Linked DNA regions of Arabidopsis thaliana. The protein of the gene in region 3 interacts with the protein of the main gene of each other region in a pairwise test. Each region holds a gene or a part of one and is shown on either strand. Other genes may lie near its edges.

What was found.
Region 1: the proteins of bZIP52 (region 3) and TCP17 interact in a two-hybrid assay, tested with the Arabidopsis thaliana proteins (one large-scale study listed by BioGRID).
Region 2: the proteins of bZIP52 (region 3) and AT1G31760 interact in a two-hybrid assay, tested with the Arabidopsis thaliana proteins (one large-scale study listed by BioGRID).
Region 4: the proteins of bZIP52 (region 3) and SUVR1 interact in a two-hybrid assay, tested with the Arabidopsis thaliana proteins (one large-scale study listed by BioGRID).

What each region holds. Positions count from the first base shown.
Region 1 is NC_003076.8:2,582,733-2,586,547, reverse strand, and holds TCP17 (TCP domain protein 17), read right to left. Parts: upstream 2,191-3,815; 5' UTR 2,027-2,190; intron 1,677-2,026; 5' UTR 1,664-1,676; coding exon 935-1,663; 3' UTR 513-934; downstream 1-512. UniProt on the Arabidopsis thaliana protein: Plays a pivotal role in the control of morphogenesis of shoot organs by negatively regulating the expression of boundary-specific genes such as CUC genes, probably through the induction of miRNA (e.g. miR164). Participates in ovule development.
Region 2 is NC_003070.9:11,371,858-11,376,091, forward strand, and holds AT1G31760 (SWIB/MDM2 domain superfamily protein), read right to left. Parts: upstream 2,445-4,234; 5' UTR 1,558-2,444; coding exon 1,345-1,557; intron 871-1,344; coding exon 745-870; 3' UTR 537-744; downstream 1-536. Other genes in the region: AT1G31750 (proline-rich family protein), read right to left, coding at 1-174; ABCG14 (ATP-binding cassette 14), read right to left, coding at 3,395-4,045, 4,139-4,234.
Region 3 is NC_003070.9:2,103,194-2,107,272, reverse strand, and holds bZIP52 (basic leucine-zipper 52), read right to left. Parts: upstream 2,226-4,079; 5' UTR 2,041-2,225; coding exon 1,580-2,040; intron 1,500-1,579; coding exon 1,367-1,499; coding exon of another isoform or gene 1,265-1,366; intron 1,256-1,264; coding exon 1,171-1,255; intron 1,090-1,170; coding exon 755-1,089; 3' UTR 524-754; downstream 1-523. Other genes in the region: AT1G06840 (Leucine-rich repeat protein kinase family protein), read left to right, coding at 4,065-4,079.
Region 4 is NC_003070.9:1,045,047-1,051,447, reverse strand, and holds SUVR1 (histone-lysine N-methyltransferase SUVR2-like protein), read left to right. Parts: upstream 1-1,583; 5' UTR 1,584-1,830; intron 1,831-1,970; exon of another isoform or gene 1,971-2,238; 5' UTR 2,239-2,251; coding exon 2,252-2,434; intron 2,435-2,468; exon of another isoform or gene 2,469-2,532; coding exon 2,533-2,595; intron 2,596-2,689; coding exon 2,690-2,728; intron 2,729-2,817; coding exon 2,818-2,949; intron 2,950-3,025; coding exon 3,026-3,296; intron 3,297-3,442; coding exon 3,443-4,461; intron 4,462-4,570; coding exon 4,571-4,824; intron 4,825-4,911; coding exon 4,912-4,978; intron 4,979-5,068; coding exon 5,069-5,119; intron 5,120-5,252; coding exon 5,253-5,349; intron 5,350-5,452; coding exon 5,453-5,481; 3' UTR 5,482-5,850; downstream 5,851-6,401. Other genes in the region: TOM22-I (translocase of outer membrane 22-I), read left to right, coding at 332-616. UniProt on the Arabidopsis thaliana protein: Probable inactive histone-lysine methyltransferase that acts as regulator of transctiptional gene silencing independently of histone H3K9 methylation.

The DNA.
Region 1 (3,815 bases), on a different chromosome or scaffold from region 3:
ATAGAAAGTGAAAAGAGGATCGACAAAAGAGAAAAGAAAAAAAGAAGAATAATTAAAAGAAGATATATAGGGATCAGTGCTTGACTTGACTGCAGATTCAGTTGCTGTCTTAACTGCCTCATCTTCTTCTCATTTTCCTTCTCTCATTCGCCAATCCCAATAAGGCAATACTCATCACCTAAATCTATCTCTATATAGCTAGTTGTTGGTTGGAGTATATGATTCTACTCACTTTACATTAATCCAATTACCGGAAAGCTGCTACAACAAATCATATACCTATATATGAATATTCAGGATAAAACGTTTTAGTTGTCGTAAATCCTTCCAATAGGTTCAATAATGCTTTTGCGGCATATTTGGTTTCGGAAATGTAAGAAAATAAATATTCGGTTCGATTAGTTTACATGTTAAGCCCAAAATATATACATACAACGTATATTTGTGTCATTGTGTGTATGAGTGTGTTTATTTCTATTTGTAGATGATATCATATGTGTTGTGTTCCTTGTATACTACACATGCATGTGGTTGTGGACATATGAGTACAAGCTAGGGTTTGGCGTGCAATGAGGCCTGTGTTATAGCATATTTAGGCACTACAAACTTTACATACAAATGTGAAAAGTTTGTATGAGAGATATTATTTATATTGATTGTAGCGGTACAATGAATTAGATATTCTACCAACTCAATCACAACATGAATTATGAATATGTACCTTTGCTCGCATCAGATTTGGCGTCTATTATATAATCTTTAATAAGACTGTCTACTATAAATACACGCATGTGACGATTAATCAATCCAACAATAACCATTAAACCATATAAATCTCCCTCTCTCTATGTACATATAGTAAATGCCTTACATGTCACATGACTTGAATTCTTCAACTTGTTAAAGATCGTCTAAAAATAATCTGCAGCTGGAACTACTCGATATGGTCTGGTTGTGAGCTTGTGCTACTAAAGAGTTGAAGTTGACCACCACCGAGAAACGAAGGGTACCTTGTTGGGAATAGAGAACTCATAGTTTCCGCCGCCGGAGGATTGAGATTATTATTATTATAGTTATTAGAAAATGCGACAGTGACGTTACCAGATTGGTCTAGTAGTGACTGTTGGAGATGTCCAAGGTTGTAGTGATAAGAGCTGCTAGACGAAGTAATTGTAGGGAAATAAAGCTTGTTGCTCTGGATTGAATTCGAGAAATGGTTGTGATGATCGATGTGATCAAACACATGATCAAGATTAACCCATTTCCTTTTCTCAAGATCCAAAGCTTCTCTCTGTGTTCTTCCAAGATCGAAGACCCCGGGAAAAGATTCTCCAAGGCCGGTGAGATTAGGGTTAAGTTGGTGAAAACCAGGTGGGAATTGCAAAGGAGGAAGCAAATCGACGTCGTTTTTGGCAACTTCTAAGAGCCAATCAATGACTTTGCTAGGCTGACTCAGCCCTAATCGTTCTTGAAGGTCGTAGACTTGGATCGCTGTCATCACCGACAACCTTATCCTCCTGTCTCGGAGACCACGAACTGTGCACACTTTGCTGTGTCTATCTTTGCCTCCAAATGCTCGGGAGACTCGCACGATCCTCGGATTATTCCATCGTTGCGTCAACAAGGACAAGGAACTTTTCTGATCTTCTTTTTTTATTCCCATGTCCTCTGTCGATCTAAAAAACAAAAAACAGATGAACAAAATCAATATTGTCATCACAAAGTGTTCAAATTCGGAATGTTTGTGGATTTTTGGGAAGCGTGATCACTTTAATTAGATGAAAGCAACTTCAATAGAGTAAATAACAAAAACCTATTAAGATCAAGAAAACGTATATTACTCGAACTGCATATTAATTTAATTTACTAGATATTTTGTGTATATATACTTAAAAAAGATCAAAGGAAAGTGATTCTCAAATCGAAATAGATTACAATTGAATCAATAGGAAGATCTGAGGATCCAAAGAGGAAAACAAAGGTTTCAAATTATATTACTGCAAGAAAAAAAGATGATTAATCTTACACAGAAAAACTGGTAAGCTTGACGAAGTCGTTGGGTTTAGACAGATCGAGTGAGTTCTTTGTCACGTAGGTTGAGGAAAATGATAAGAACCGAGATGATGAACAGTTATAATTTATTCTCTCTCGTTATCTAAAACTAAAAGTGTATAATATAACATATGGTTGAGGCTGAGCAAGAAATGATATCTATATATATATACGCTCCAATCCCTAGGGTTTTAGTTAGGTATAAAGAGCAATTTGTGTAGTGTGTAGACTATAGACACTCTTATCCACATGTTTTCTGACGGAAAGAAAGATGCTATGATTTTCATTAATCACCCATACTAATAGTAGATAATAAATAAAAACATATACATACACTGATACACATATACATAATCAAAATGTGTACACATGTATCTACTTACTTAGAGATCATTCTTTAGAATGTCTAGTCCTGAATCTTGATGATGCATACGATCATTCTTAACGATATCTTTGACTCCATTCAATAGAAAATACTAATGTAAGAAAATTACATTTTCATTACACACTACATATGGATCTTTTGCTATATATCATTCGAAACAATAGTTCAAAATTACTGAGAACCAACTTATACATTACATTTGGTATAGGGCAAATTCCATTATATATAGTATGTGATGTGCATCAGTAAATGTTAAGACCCAAAACTTTTAAAAATTAGGGGTTTCCTTTCGATTTTCTTCGTGAGATGATCCCAATTGAGCTCCATAATACTGTACATATTATAGTAGGCAAATAGATTGACAGCTAAAATGGTTGGTCTTAGATGGAGGATGGACCAAATTAAAGAGTACATGTTTTTTTTTGTTAAAATAAAGCATCTTAGATATGTAATATGCTTATATACAGATTCATGGTGGACCACTATATAATTTGCATGGCAGTGAGATATCTAGTTCATTCTTTTAAGCATTATTTATATACACTGTCAGGATATCACAATAACAGAATTTCATATAACAAAAATATAATTATTAAATTTCATAAGAATTCTTGTAATTCAATAACAATGACATTGGGGTTTTATATCAATGAGTGAATTCTTGCCATACTGCCAAATTTCACTATATATCTTATAATAAACTGTTTTACTTTTCTTTTAAACGTTTCACAATTTATGACTAATTATTAGCTGCTTGTATACAATGTGTATAAGTAGACCTCTGCGTATGTGTATCAGAGAATCAGAGATTGAGAAGTTTCTCTAGTTGGGACCTAAGGTCGGCTGAAGTAGATAACGATGATTGGACTTCAGTTTCAAAAATTTATTAGCCTTTAGTGCGTTGGATTATGTAATCTTCAAGACGATTGAAGCATATACAAGAAAATAGTTTTAACCTTTTTTCCTAGAAATTTGTTAAGTATGAACGATTCCAATTTCATAGAGGTCAAATACATTACATACTAGCGGTAGATCACATACTAGTGATGGCGGTTAAAAACGAACCTTTAATTCGGTTACCAATATTGAATTGGATACTTGGACTTGAAATAAGCGGTTAGAAGCTCAAACGAATGATTTCAAACTGATTTGTCCTAAAACCACAATCAATTTCAAGTAAACCCTGCTTATCTTTTACCACTGCAAACCGGACCATATTCTCTGATCGCTAGAGAATCTTATTAAGTTTGGTCACACAACCTAGCTGTAACCACAATGAGTGCAAAACGGTAACCACAATGAGTGCAAAACGGTAACACAGAGTGCAATTGAAACGCTCATGTGTCCCAGTTTAGACCAAAAGTTGGAATACGTGCAT
Region 2 (4,234 bases), 9.3 Mb from region 3:
GGCCGGTGGATAGCCGTGAGGTGGTGGAGGATAACCTTGCGGAGGGTAACCTCCCGGTGGAGGATAAGCTCCCTGCGGTGGAGGAGGATAAGCTCCTGGCGGATACCCATGGCCGTGATGATTATGATGTGAGAAGAATCTTTTGTCTTGTTCGTGGTGGTCGTCTTTACCCATCTTTAATTAAAATCAAGAACTTGAGAGATAATAAGATGATATGAATAGAGAGAGATACAAGATATGGAAAAATGAACTATATACTATGTTATGTTTAGACACATACATGTGTGCGATATTTGGTTATGTGTAGCGAAAAAGGCTCTTAGCTATTGATTTAAACCGAAATGGACGCGTTGATGCTTGCTCGTTTTAACAACGCATTCTTATTCCTCTTCTGATCATGACACGTTTCTTCTCCATCAGAGGATAAAATAATTGTGACCATTCATATGCATTAAACAATAATAACGAAATCGTTGCTCACACGACACATTAGACTATTAGAGCAGAAAGCCATCAAAGATTAGAGAGAGGAGTAATTTCACAAAATCAAACAATATTAAGATAAAATGGTCAAACTACATAATATTCTCCGGTAGATGGATCAAAAGAGAGTTATTGTTTTGGTTTGTTAACATACCAAAGTTCAAACGGGTTTAGAGTTTCATATACAACCCGAAATGAACCACAAAAGCCAAACCATTTCTTCTTAGATAGATACAACTACGTTAGATAAACATCACCAAATCAGACGGATTTAGGGAAATGTGGTGAGAGGAGCTTCATGATCTCTGTGATTCCGACTTTGTCTTTGCCATCGAAAATCGTCTTCAACTTATCATCGCAGTGAATCTCCTTCTTGTTCGCCGGATTCTACAATGAGGCAAGAAATGAATCACTCAAACAGAAACTATGAATAATCCAGAAAACAGAGAAGTTTATGGTCTACATTAGCTGCTTGTTGTTTACATTGAACAACCAATTCAACATATAGACATCATCTGTGTGTATTACATTAAATAGACTAATTCCAAAACTCAAAGAACACTACAATTCCAAGTTCTCTAAGATAATGACCAACACAACAATCCAAGTAATCTTCACAACCAAACCCACAAGATGCTTCATGTATATAGTCAAAACCAAACAATCCATTCTCAACCACAAGATAACATGCATTTTACTCAAGATCCATGTTCTACATAACAATCAAATCATCCGCCACTAAAATGCTTAATCGATTTAGTTTACATGCAACAATTCCTTCTCTAAAGCAACCAAATCCCTAAGTTCATAAACAGATCTACGCAAAGTAAAAACCTTAGAAAGCTCCAAAATCAAACAAACCTGGAGATTGTGAAGCTTCACATACTCCCAAACTTTCTTCAGAGCGGAACCACGAGTGAGTTCCCTTTCTCCGGCGAAGCTAGCTAGCTGCTGTGACACCGGACGAGTCTTGAATATCCCTTTTCCTTCTCCGGCTACAGTAACGGCCTCAACAGTCGCCGCCTTCGACATCAGTGTCCTGAACCCTCCCAAAACCCTAGAAATTCCCGCCATTTTTTATTTCCGAAAAGAGAAACAAACAACGACTAGAGAAGAAGCTAAAACCCTAACAACAGTCAAATAGAGAAAAATTCGGCGAGAGAGACAAGAAAGACTCTTAAAAGAAGATCGCTAAACTCATTTTGGGCCTTTCATAAACTATGGGCCTATTTGGGCTTCATAAAAAACGAAATATTTAGGATGTTTTATCGAAATTAAAGGTAAATGTAAGAGCTAATGTGCAATTTAAGAAGATAGCTAAAATTCAGTTTGGGCCTATTTGGGCTTCAGAAAAAAGAGAAATAATTAGGATGTTTATCGAAAATAAAGGTAAAATGTAAGGGTTAATATGCAATTTAAAATGAACTTTTAGTCTTCGGTGACAAACGGCACCGTTTAATAGTTTGATGCCGGTCGCTATTCGTACATGGCGGATGCTCCGTCGCAACATCGCCGTAGAGAGTCTTCTTCGCCGCTGCGTCACCGTCAACTTGGATGAGACATATTCTTAAAAGGAGAACGATGTGGTGAGTGGAAACCCTAATCGATATCAGTGGTTGTTAAATGTATTAGTTGATTTTAGTTGTCTTAGTCTACTAGAGATTTTTAGTTCTTGTCTCTGAGTGGTGAATGACAAGGTTTTTCACAAACTTGGTTAATATCTATGACTTAAGAGATGACATGTTTGCTCATCTTCTCTGGTTAGTTTATCTTATCTTTGTTAAGATAAAGATGCTTATGGTCATTTAGTAGACTAAAAACGGCAACTTGTGTAGTTATTATATGTGGTATAAAGGGGGAAAGAGCATGATTAGATCATATGATGATCTCTCTTGCTTTCGTATGTATATCACTCACTAGAAAGGATGATGTATTTAGGTCTGAGAAAGCAACACAAGTTAGTGAATGACGTTTCAAGTTTTTACTTGGAAGGGTTAGAAGATGGTTCTTCTAGGTGATGATAATGACACTTGACAAAGTAGAGAGTGACATGGATTTCTCTTCTTGCATCAGCTTCCACTTGACTAAAGTGAATCACGTTTTAATGTGTAAGCATATCTTGTGGGCCTTTCTCATCCAATGATTTGTTTTTTGCTCCTCTATGTTGTTTTGCAGACACTGTAGCTTCCCCACTTCTTCTTTTTGGTTTTAAATTATTGTGTAGCTAGTAACGATGTGAAGTATAACAACAGCCATTTAAAGTTTCAATTATTCGACTCGTATTTATCATGAAAGCGAAAGCACATTATTCCTGTAGCTATTGTTGACATAAATTCTGCAGTTGAAAAAAGTCTATATGTGTGGTAAAGAAAACTTCAAAGTACCAGTAAAGTTACTTGAGATGATAAGGAGAGCCATGGTCAGGTGTGTTTGCTTATGTCCTGTCGTTGTTAGTCTTATTATCCGCAAGTTGTTTAATTATCTGATACATACATTTCATTGATTTTCACCAGTTGATATGCACTTGCAGGTGACTAGTAATGTGTAGAGATAGAGTAGACCTTTTCTTTTTAAGGAACCCCACAAAAGATACAACAATCATTTCCATGGAAGAGTGGACCGAAAGTTTAGTCACTGTTTTTGCAAATGGGAATTAGTATATACTTGGTTTCCCTTCTTATCTCATACATTATCTCACTGTTTTATTCTCAAACTTAGGAGTACTATCATCATCTAGCCTAAAATAAAAAGAAAGTCGTCGGATATATATCTCGGATACGTAAGTAAAATCGACCAAAATTCGACGACTTTTATCTTTTCTAATACTACTATTATTCCTTGGTTGCAGTGGGGAAAATTTTCTTTGGAGCTTCTTGGAGTTACTTAGTTGTTGTTACCTTCGGCTGCACGTTTACCGCAACTTCACCCGATGCAGTGCCATGTAAGCCATGAGCCGATAACCCACCAACATCACTCCCATAACAAACACGTCTATCCAGAGATTGTTCAATCCCATTGACTTGATTGCTGGGAAGTCTCCAACTCTGCACCAGACTCCTTTTGAACACTCATAGTAGTCGTCATCAGTGTATTGAATACCCAAAAGCAGCTTGTAGCAGTAGTAGCTGTAGCTTAGGTACTTGAGCCATACGATGAAGGGAGGAATTTGTTGCACGTAGTATCCTCCGGCTATGAGAAAAACGAGTGTAGTAACAGATGCTAACGTTGTGGCTTGCTTGATGTTCATAAGCAGAGCACCGAAGGCTAAGCCAAGACCTTGAGCAACAAGGACAGAATAGAGAACAACCAGTAGCGAGAGGATAAACGTTGTTGGGTCAGGTTTAAGTCCACCCATCCAGTAAATTATGAACACAAAAGCAGTTGGAAGGGCAAGTTCCAAGGGCAGGTCCCCAACGTTTCTAGCCATGAAATAGGAGGAAAGACGGTACATTCCGGAAGACCGTTCCTTGATTAGCATTCTTTTCTCTTGTGGAAATGTGAAAACCGCGTTGTATAGCGGGTAGAAGCCCCAAAAGACCGAGAAGAAGAAGAGCAAAGCAGTCTGCATTCAGAATAAATGTAGAATGATGGTTAGAATTAGAATACTGATGTCTGAATAAAATGTGTGTTAGCATCTAGAAGAAGAGAGCCTTACTCTATCTTGGATGTGAGATTTTGGAGTATGCCACCATAAAAGGCCACCAAGAAAAGCAACACTGATGACTTGGAAAATCCTGAGCTTGTTGAAAGA
Region 3 (4,079 bases):
AGCTTCTCCAAGGACGTCCACAGTCCAGAGAGTAGATGTTTCGTCTGATAACATGGTAACAATGTTCTAAACTCTCCACGTTCTTATTGTTATGCATGTTCTATTGTTCTTGCTAGCTCAGTTTGGAAAGGTTGGAACTTTTGTTGGTTCTCTCCAACAATGGGTCTTTGCTTAAAGGTTGAATCGTGTTAGATGTCTTTCAAAGGTCGAATATTTTCGTTAACAGTCTTACAGAGTCTCAAAAACTAATCTCTCAATGCTTCGTCTCTCATTTCAACTCCGACTCCAAGTTTGGGAAATTTTGTCTCATGGAGAAGTCCGGTTGGGAGAAGTTGTCTCAAAACTCTAATGGGATGACGGATGTGAGGGTGTCTTGGAGAAGAAGCTACTGAGGAACTGCCTTGGTGTTGTCGTATCAAAATCATTGATCCCAAAATCAAACTATTAACCCAATTGGAATGAACTTATTAAACATCTCCATCTCCTAGTAAAATAAAACAAAACGTAGCAAACATCATTGTATACAAAAGAAAAATGAAATTTATTAGTCTCCTTTGTTCCTTGAAGAACAAACAATGGGAATAGCAAACAACGAAACTCACGACACATAACCAACACAAATGTATACGTACGTCCTTTCTTGCACAATGGCACCTCAAAAAAAAGAAAGAATAAATAATCAAAAGTGAATCAAATGAATTGAAAAAAAAAAAAACCTATTAACAGAAAAATGAGCCTCATCATAATCTTGTCGTCAATAGGCAGAGCTACTCTCACTAGCAGAGAGAGAAGGTCCTTCAGATTTGACTAAGCTTGAGCTATTGCTACTAATCTCCAGCCCTTGCATTCGGCCGTTCTGTAGAAAGTCCGACACGCTTTGAGAATTGGACATCTCCATAGGATTGAAACTAGAATGCATCTGCATATCATGGAGGTTCATTGAGCCATGATATGGTGGAATAGCCATGAAAGTTGAGGAAGAATACTGAATCTGCTGCATTCCCATATCAAACGAATCTGAATTACCAGAGATTTCTCCTGTCTCCATCTTCATCCTTTCAACTTCTTTCCTCAACGCTTCGTTTAAAGCTGTAACATCAAAAAGCAAATATTGAAGAAATGCACCAAAATGCATACAAAGAAATTAGCTTCTTTTTTTTTTGTGCTTACCATTACGAAGCTGAGCTTGTTGTTCCATTGCTTGCAACCTAAGTTTCAGCTCTGTGTTTTCGTTTGCTAGTCCATTTGTGTCTCTCTGGATCAATCAAAACAACATTGAAATCAAGATCTGTCTATGTATGTAAAACAGAGGAAAGAACTTTCCTATTCTGTTGGGATCAAACGAGGAATCGCCGAATATGGAAACCTGGTAGAGAGTAAGCTGAGCAGAGAGAGTGGTAGCTTCGGTTTGAAGAGATTGAACTTTGCGCTCAAGTTCTTGAATGTATCGAGCTTTTCTCTCTTTGGATCGAGCTGCAGATTGTCGATTCGCTAGAATCCTGTAATCAAATCCCTAATTTCATTGCAATTCTTCAATTCTGTGGAAAGAGAAACAAATTTGAAGAAGAAGAAGAAGGACCTTTTGGCGCGTTTGGGATCGATGTTCCAAAGCTCAGAGAGTTTTTCAGGAGGCATAGCTTTCTTAGCGTCCATGATATCACCGGCATACATGGCGCATCCAGCGTCAACGGAATTGCTGTGACGGTGGCGAGGACGAGAGGAAGGAGGAGGAGGAGGATTAGCAGCGCCGGAAACGGAGTTGGAGGAGAGGGAAGGATTTTGAAAGGGATTGGGATTAGAGGTGAGGCTATCGACATCGATGAAAGAAGAGAAGAGATCGTCGTCGGAGGGAAGGTCGTCGGAGGAAGGTGGTGCGGCGGAGGAGAGGGGATCCATGAACATGAACATGGACATATCGTCGGAGCGAGATCGGCGGTGGAAGGAAGAAGATGGAATCGGATCGGCATTAGGAATTGGATCGGAGGAGGGGATAATAGTGGCGCCGGGCTTTGGGACTGGTGGAGGATCTGATTTCTCCATTTTTTTAAGAGAATCTGAGAGATGAATGCTTTGGTTGTGTGAATAATTATGATTATTATTCGCAATTGAGAACAATGTCAATGGAGATAATGATGGAGATGAAGAAGACGAAGCTCTTTCTCTCTCTCTCTCTCTCTCTCTCTCTCTATCAAATGAAATGAAATGAAGAGCGTAGGAGAGAAACTCGACTCTGTGAGGAGAGAGAAGTGACGTCACTAACTATAAAATTGCGAAATTGAGTTGATTTATTAATAATTAAAAAGAAAACTAGTTGATGAAAAGTAAAAGGCACATTGGCACGTGAACCATCGCAGCATCTTGTCTCCCTCCCTTTTTTTTTTATTTTTTTTTCCTTTTTCTTTGTATTTTATTTAATTATTCGATTTCATGATTTAAATTTGTTTAACTTTAAATCTTCTTTGTAGCATTCATTACAAGATTCTGTAGTTGCTTCAACGAAATTTATTAATTTAAGCTGTTATGGCATTACATCTCCCCACGTCTGAGTGTATATTTTTGTATCTTTGAGTCAAAATTTTAACAAGTAAAAAATAGGCAGAAAGCCTTGTATGAACTGAGAGTCTGAGAGAATGTTTTGTGGGATAATAAGTTGGTAACTTGGTATGGAACTATCTATGGATTGGGAAACAAGTAAAATTCACTTATAGTGAAAAATACTTATTGGTTGGATCTAAATCATACGGAGGCCTTAATTATCAGGCCCATACAAGAAGACAAGTATTGTTTTGTTTTAAGAAATCCTCGAGCATATAATGCGCCTGTAGTGGACAGGAGGATGTTTTGGGCCTTCTCTTAAATTGGCAATTGGGCATCACTTTGTTTACCGGTCAAAATAATTAAAAAGATGGTCGTATTGATCGCTTTAAGTAATAAGTTTTTTAGTTAAGTCTCTCTAAATTGTCTTAAACGCAAGTAGTGGACCGGCATCATTTAATAGTGATTCAAATTAAAAACCTAATGATGCTTACTTTTACCAGCTAAAGTTTCTTTTGTCTTTTTTTTTTTTGTTTTATTATTATTTATCAACATACTTGTGAATTGTGATTCTCCCTTTTTTTATATATAAATAATGAACATACTTAAGATATAGTTTCTCCCATTTATTGTCACCTAACGGGTATTTTTTAAAACCAAATTCTGTTGGAAAGTTCTTCTCTAAACATAAATAATATATAGCTCATGTCTATGCTTTTTAATAGTGCCCATTGTATTTCTTTTCTTATTTGAGTAATTTATTCCAGCTGTTTCTTTTTTTTCCCTCTCGTAATGATACGACATAGTGACATACATCTTCTGTTTCTTCTTTTTTTGTTCAAGAAAATCATAATGACTACAGGTAATTAATCACACTTCTACAAATCAGTTGATAATCAGCACCATTTTCCAATAAAAGTCGATACTTTGGAAAATTTCGTGACTTTTAGTATCGTGGGGGCCAAAATGCACATAAAGATACGATATCGATGACCAAATTGCCATATACTATATGATTCCAATATACCAATGATTGCTACTATTTGCTAATGGTATACGTTTTTAAATTTTAATTAATACATAAAAAAAAAATCAAGGTGGGATAAAAAGGTAACTTTATTGACAATATTTGGAAATTCATCGCACCTGGCAAGAGATTTACCTACTGTCATTAAAAAAGGATTAAAAAAACGACAAAAAGGTCAAAGACAGGTCAGACAAGGAATCATTAAACAAAGGAAGAAAAATAGCAAGTAGAATGGTTTTGACGGAAGAAGGTGGTGAAGTTATGGCGGCGGCGCAACGGAAACTTATGATGACGCTCTTCCGTCGGTCTCATCCATTACCTGAAATAGTCAAACTTAGAAAATGTCGTATTATCACTCTTCAATGCTCCCACCCAATACCAACTACTTTCCTCTTTCTTTGTCTTGTGTTTCTTACTTGGTCATGGCCTTTTCCTTCTAAACTCTCTCTCTCTCGAGATTTCGTTTTTTCCTTGGGTCTCCTCTGTTTCCTCCTCTCTCGATATGTTTTCGACCCAT
Region 4 (6,401 bases), 1.1 Mb from region 3:
CAATCAGTGAATGCTATCTTCGAAAGTAGCTTCAATGTAAGAGAGCTCTCAGCTTTTGATTTTGGTGTGTTTCGTTTACACACGAAGAGAGGGGGGTATAGGGTTAGAGACGACGAACCAAAACGAAAGGCGACGCGTATCGTGTTGGTCGGCGCACACTGGAACTCAATCTGGCCCGTTAAGTAAATGGGTCATTAGATTTCTTAATGGGCCTACTGACCCGTACATTATTAAAGCCGAGGATCCCCTTTCAATTTTATTTTTCAAAGTGAAACCCTCGTCGTCGTCTCTAGTCTGAACTTTTTCAATCTCTCTCGATTTCATTCAATCAATGGCGCCTAAGAAAATCGGAGCCGGCAAAGGCGATTCGAGCATCTTGGCGAAGATTTCAAACTACGATATCGTTTCTCAGGGAAGACGCGCCGCTTGCGATGCCGTCTACGTGTCGAAGAAGCTGTTAAAGAGCACCGGGAAGGCGGCGTGGATCGCCGGTACGACGTTTCTCATCCTTGCCGTGCCTTTGATCTTAGAGTTGGAGCAAGATCATCGATTAGGCGAGATAGATTTTGAGCAGGCGAGTCTTCTCGGAACCCCACCGGTCGGTGCGATGCTCTAAAGTAACTTTAGAAACCCTAATCCGTCGATCATATCATAAATTTGATATTATCATGCTTGTTTCTGCTACTCGATTAGAAGCTGTTAGTTTCCTTCCTTGTGTAAGATTAGGTTTACTCATAAGGGATTTGATGAATTTCAATTGGCTATTTTGAAGATTGTGTTTGAGCAATCTTCTTCTAATTTATTTGGCAATTTATGATGTGGGCTGAGATTTTCTCCGTACAAGTGATTATTCTTTTAATCTCATAGCTGTGACTCACTTTGAGTGGAGCATCAATCTTCGAAATTTTATTTGGCAATCTGGTTAAGAATATAGGTAAGGATCTTTGGTAAACTTAGCTGTTTACACTTGTCTTAATTTCTCGTCAACATTTATGCCATTTAGTTCAAATTTTGATTTGATCATCACTCCTTTACATGGCAAGGCCTGTAAATAGACTGCCTAAACCTTGATGATGCTTCTTTTGTTCAGCAAATATCTTGTTAGCATCACTGCTCTTTTCGTGACAAAACCTTTGACTCCCACTTTTTCAGTTTTCAATGTGTATTTTGACTCTGTTTGCATGAAGGGTTTTGGTTTAGCTGACTTGCTGATTACTGAATCTCTTGATTTTATTCTTCCCCTATCGCCTTCACACTTGAACCAAAAGAACTATACAAAATTCTACTTTAAACCAAAAACTGAAATCATACTTGAATTCCCTGGGTTATTCAATTGTAGTAGAACAAAACGTTGTCTGTCCTGGACCCAATCGCTTAAAAGAAAAAACATATGTTGTGGGCCGTCCCATACTTGATGAAGCCCATATGATTTAAAGGAGTTAAACCAGTCAACTCGAAGGAGTAAAATCAGTCAATCATACTGACACTGCATAGAGAGAAAGAAAGGTTCACTTTTAGTTTGTCTTATTCGCCTCATACAGAAAAAGTCAATGACGACTCCCAAACGCTGCGTTTCTCAAATCTTTGAAGACTCTCCTTCGTGGAGAGTATACACTTTTCTTTCCTCACTTCGTCTTTTAAAGTTTCAAATTGTCGTCTTTCTTTGGACAGAGAGATACATTGATCAAAAATACGCTTTGCATAAGCAAATCTACCATCAGTTTTTCACTACATTCTCTTCTCTGAGGAAAGTCGAAAATCCGGTTCTCTCACTACAGAGTCTCACCCTCTTAAAACCCTAAATCAGTTTCAGAGTTGGTTCTTTTGCTTGTAAGTTCTTCTCATTTTTTCTGCTAAAGCTTCAATCTTTTCCGTTTCGAGACCTCTACTCGTTTTTTTTATTCTGGAAAATTGAAACGTTTTAGGGTTTTGGTACTTTGTTGTCCCTTCGGTTTTCCAAAAAAAAAAAAAAAAAAACAGAAAAAGTTCCAATTTTTTTGGTGGGTAATAAGTATTTGGTAATGGCTCTTCCTACATTTGTTTTTTTGTTTGCTTTCATCTCAAAATTCAGGGTCTTAGTCACATTAGTTTCGTTACACATCTAACTCTTTTACTCTCTTCTCTGGTTTCGCTCTTATTGGTGGGGCAGGAAGATGAAAGTTTCCACTTTTGTTACTTTGCTATGTTTATTTCTGAAGTTTTTTGAGGTTGGTGAGTGATTCAGCTTTGTTATTGCAGAAACTTGTTGAAAATGGCACCGAATCTTAGGATTAAGAAAGCCTGTGACGCGATGAAGCTTTTAGGAATATCAGAGACGAAAACAAGGGCCTTTCTCAGGAAACTTCTCAAGACCTATGAGAATAACTGGGATTTCATTGAAGAGGATGCTTATAAGGTCCTTCTTGATGCAATCTTCGACGAGGCTGATGCCCAGGTCTGTTTTTTCTGCTTAATCACTTTTTATTTTCTTTATTTGATTGTTTACATATTCTCACTTAGTCAGTTCTCTTTCTTTGATATGTCATATGGTAGTCCACTGAAAAAAATAAGAAGGAAGAGGAAAAGAAGAAGAAGGAAGAGGAAAAGAAGTCCAGAGTAAGTTAACTTTCTTTAATTTGATGACAATTTTCTGGTGTTTTTTGATGTTGTTTCTTCTCAAGGTTTTGATGATCTTTTTTTGTTTCTTTAGAGTGTAGCAACGAGCAGGGGAAGGAGGAAAGCTCCTGAGGTATACGACCTAAATATCTTTGTTGTTTTAGAATTTGTTATCATCATGAAACATTAACTTGTTTTTTTTTTTGGTTAAACCAAACTCAGCCTTTGGTACAAGATGAAGAGGACGATATGGATGAAGATGAATTTCCATTGAAAAGGAGGTTGCGCAGTAGACGTGGAAGAGCTTCATCTTCATCTTCATCTTCATCTTCCTATAACAACGAGGATCTCAAGGTATGTTTAGTATCTGTTTTTCGGGTTTCTTGGTCATATTATATAGCCTGTGTTTATTTTGTTTTCGGTGAAACAGACACAGCCTGAAGAGGAAGATGAAGATGATGGTGTGACTGAATTACCTCCGTTAAAGAGGTACGTACGCAGAAATGGTGAACGAGGGTTGGCAATGACTGTTTATAACAATGCAAGTCCTAGCTCCAGCAGTCGCTTGTCAATGGAGCCCGAAGAAGTACCACCAATGGTTCTATTGCCAGCTCATCCTATGGAAACGAAGGTTTCTGAAGCCAGTGCACTTGTTATCCTCAATGATGAACCCAATATCGATCATAAGCCTGTGATTTCAGGTATTGTTACATGAACTCAAGATAAAACTTAGTAATCTTTCTTTTATTGCTTTTTATGTGGTTGTGATGAGATGTTGAAACCTTTGCATTTTAACCTGATCTGTCTTTTGTGATGTTTCCTTCTGACACTTCTTTTCATTATTTAGATACAGGAAACTGTTCAGCTCCCATGCTTGAGATGGGGAAATCAAATATACATGTGCAAGAATGGGATTGGGAAACCAAAGATATTCTCAATGATACTACTGCCATGGATGTGTCTCCTTCTTCAGCTATTGGGGAATCAAGTGAGCATAAGGTTGCTGCTGCTTCAGTTGAATTAGCTTCTTCGACTTCTGGTGAGGCAAAGATTTGTCTAAGTTTCGCGCCTGCAACTGGAGAAACAACGAATTTGCATTTGCCTTCTATGGAGGATCTTCGGAGAGCAATGGAGGAGAAGTGCCTCAAGTCGTACAAAATTGTTCACCCCGAGTTTTCGGTCCTTGGGTTCATGAAGGACATGTGTAGCTGTTACATAGACTTGGCAAAGAATTCAACCAGCCAGTTGCTTGAAACAGAAACCGTATGTGACATGAGTAAGGCGGGTGATGAAAGTGGTGCAGTTGGCATTTCGATGCCGTTGGTGGTTGTTCCTGAATGCGAGATCTCGGGAGATGGCTGGAAAGCAATTAGCAACATGAAGGACATTACGGCTGGTGAAGAAAACGTTGAGATTCCATGGGTGAATGAGATCAACGAGAAGGTTCCTTCCCGTTTCCGTTACATGCCTCACAGCTTTGTGTTTCAAGATGCTCCAGTGATATTCTCGCTCTCAAGTTTCTCTGATGAGCAAAGCTGCTCCACTTCTTGTATCGAAGACTGCCTGGCTTCAGAAATGTCGTGCAATTGTGCAATTGGTGTTGATAACGGGTTTGCGTACACATTAGATGGGTTACTCAAAGAAGAATTCTTGGAAGCTCGGATCTCTGAGGCTCGTGATCAACGGAAACAGGTGCTGCGATTCTGTGAAGAGTGCCCATTGGAGAGAGCTAAAAAGGTTGAGATTTTGGAACCATGTAAAGGGCATCTAAAGAGGGGAGCCATTAAAGAGTGTTGGTTCAAATGTGGTTGCACTAAGAGATGCGGTAACCGAGTGGTGCAAAGAGGAATGCACAACAAATTACAGGTAAAACATTCACCTTAACTAACAATCTTTTACGTGTTTTTCTTTCATCTTGTTATATAAATCAATTAGTTTCCATTTTTGATCAGTCATCTTTTTTTCTTAATATCAGGTGTTTTTCACGCCAAATGGGAAAGGCTGGGGACTTAGGACTTTAGAGAAACTGCCTAAAGGGGCATTTATTTGTGAGTACATTGGAGAGATATTGACAATTCCGGAGTTATACCAACGTAGCTTTGAAGATAAACCCACTTTGCCTGTGATATTGGATGCACATTGGGGTTCTGAAGAAAGGTTAGAGGGTGACAAAGCTCTGTGTCTTGATGGGATGTTTTATGGAAATATCTCAAGGTTCCTTAACCACAGGTAATGGCTTCCCCTAAAACTCAGAACACCAATGGTGTTTCTCTCTATTTTAAACTGATGTTTCTTTCTGTCCTTTGATGTATGTAGATGTCTTGATGCAAACTTGATCGAGATTCCAGTTCAAGTCGAGACTCCGGATCAGCATTATTATCATGTAATGATACAATGACGGTCTCATATATAATCTTTTGCTCATATGTTTCTTCTGTTTTGGGGAAATTGTTTAAACTGTAATCTTTTCCAGCTTGCATTCTTCACAACAAGAGACATCGAGGCAATGGAGGAACTCGCATGGGTGTGTATAATTTCGCATATCCATTTTATATTAGGCTGAGAAGTTTCTATACCGATGAAAATGATTGTATATTCCTAATGCTTACTGATATCTTGATATACATTGATCTGATGTAACCCTTTCACATTCTCAGGATTATGGCATTGACTTCAACGATAATGACTCTCTAATGAAACCCTTTGATTGTCTGTGTGGTAGCAGATTCTGCAGGAACAAGAAGCGATCAACGAGTGAGTAATATCATCAGAGTTTGTTGATTCTGTTACATGGGACTGAGTAATATCAATCCTGCATCTCACTGACTGAATTTTTTTTACCTTTGTTATGTTCCAGAGACCATGCAGATTTTGAACAAAGCATGAGAGGCTAGTGAAGAAGAAAAGACGTGATGAGACCCTCTGTTTTTTGGTGAATGGGACTCTCCAAACCGGTCCGGGTTAATAGATTTTGTAGGTTGGGAAAAAAAGAAGCTTAAGTTGGGTATTGTGTGATCAAACTCTGTATAGCTCGAGGGTCCAGTGCCTTTTGTTTTAATTTAGAAGTTTGACCATCTTTAATTCTAAATCTCTCTAAACCACGTTCTTTTTTGTAGTAAACCATAAATTTCCGCACTGTTGAGGGCCAACGGATCCCTGATCGTAAGACTAGGAGTCTAGGATGGACAAGTTTTTACTTCTTACTTTTATCACTCAGTTTATGGAGATGGAAAGTATGATTGTATTGTCTTTGTGCATATGGTGTGTTCATCTAAAACAAGTGAAAAAAGCTAAAAAATTGCCGTTGAACAACTCTCTCACTATATATATAATCTATTTATGTATGAAATTTAATCAAAACGTGATTAACAAATTATAAACAAACAACTCTTGTCATGTTATGATCGGTGTTACTTAATTGACCATTCTACTTTTTGAATGTTATAATTGTTTGCTTAAGAAAGTAAGCTTTTACGAAAGTGGTATCCTAATGTATAACACGTATTATCTAAAAGATCAAAATAACGGGAAAAATGAGATTCTCATCGTTAACATTTTACGATTATTTTGACAAAATATGGCCAAAAGTTGTAGTAAATGTTTAACTTATTCAATTTTAAGCTGAATTGGCAGTTGAAAATAATAAGCATTTAATTGTAGTCCAACTGTGCATGATCGGTCGTATACGTGCTTTGCTGGAAAACCGAGTGTTTCTAATGACTTAATATCTATACTCTACTTATATTCAATTAAGAGATCCAAATTAATTTTCACAAATGCAGCATAGAAGAAAAAAAGAGTTTAGG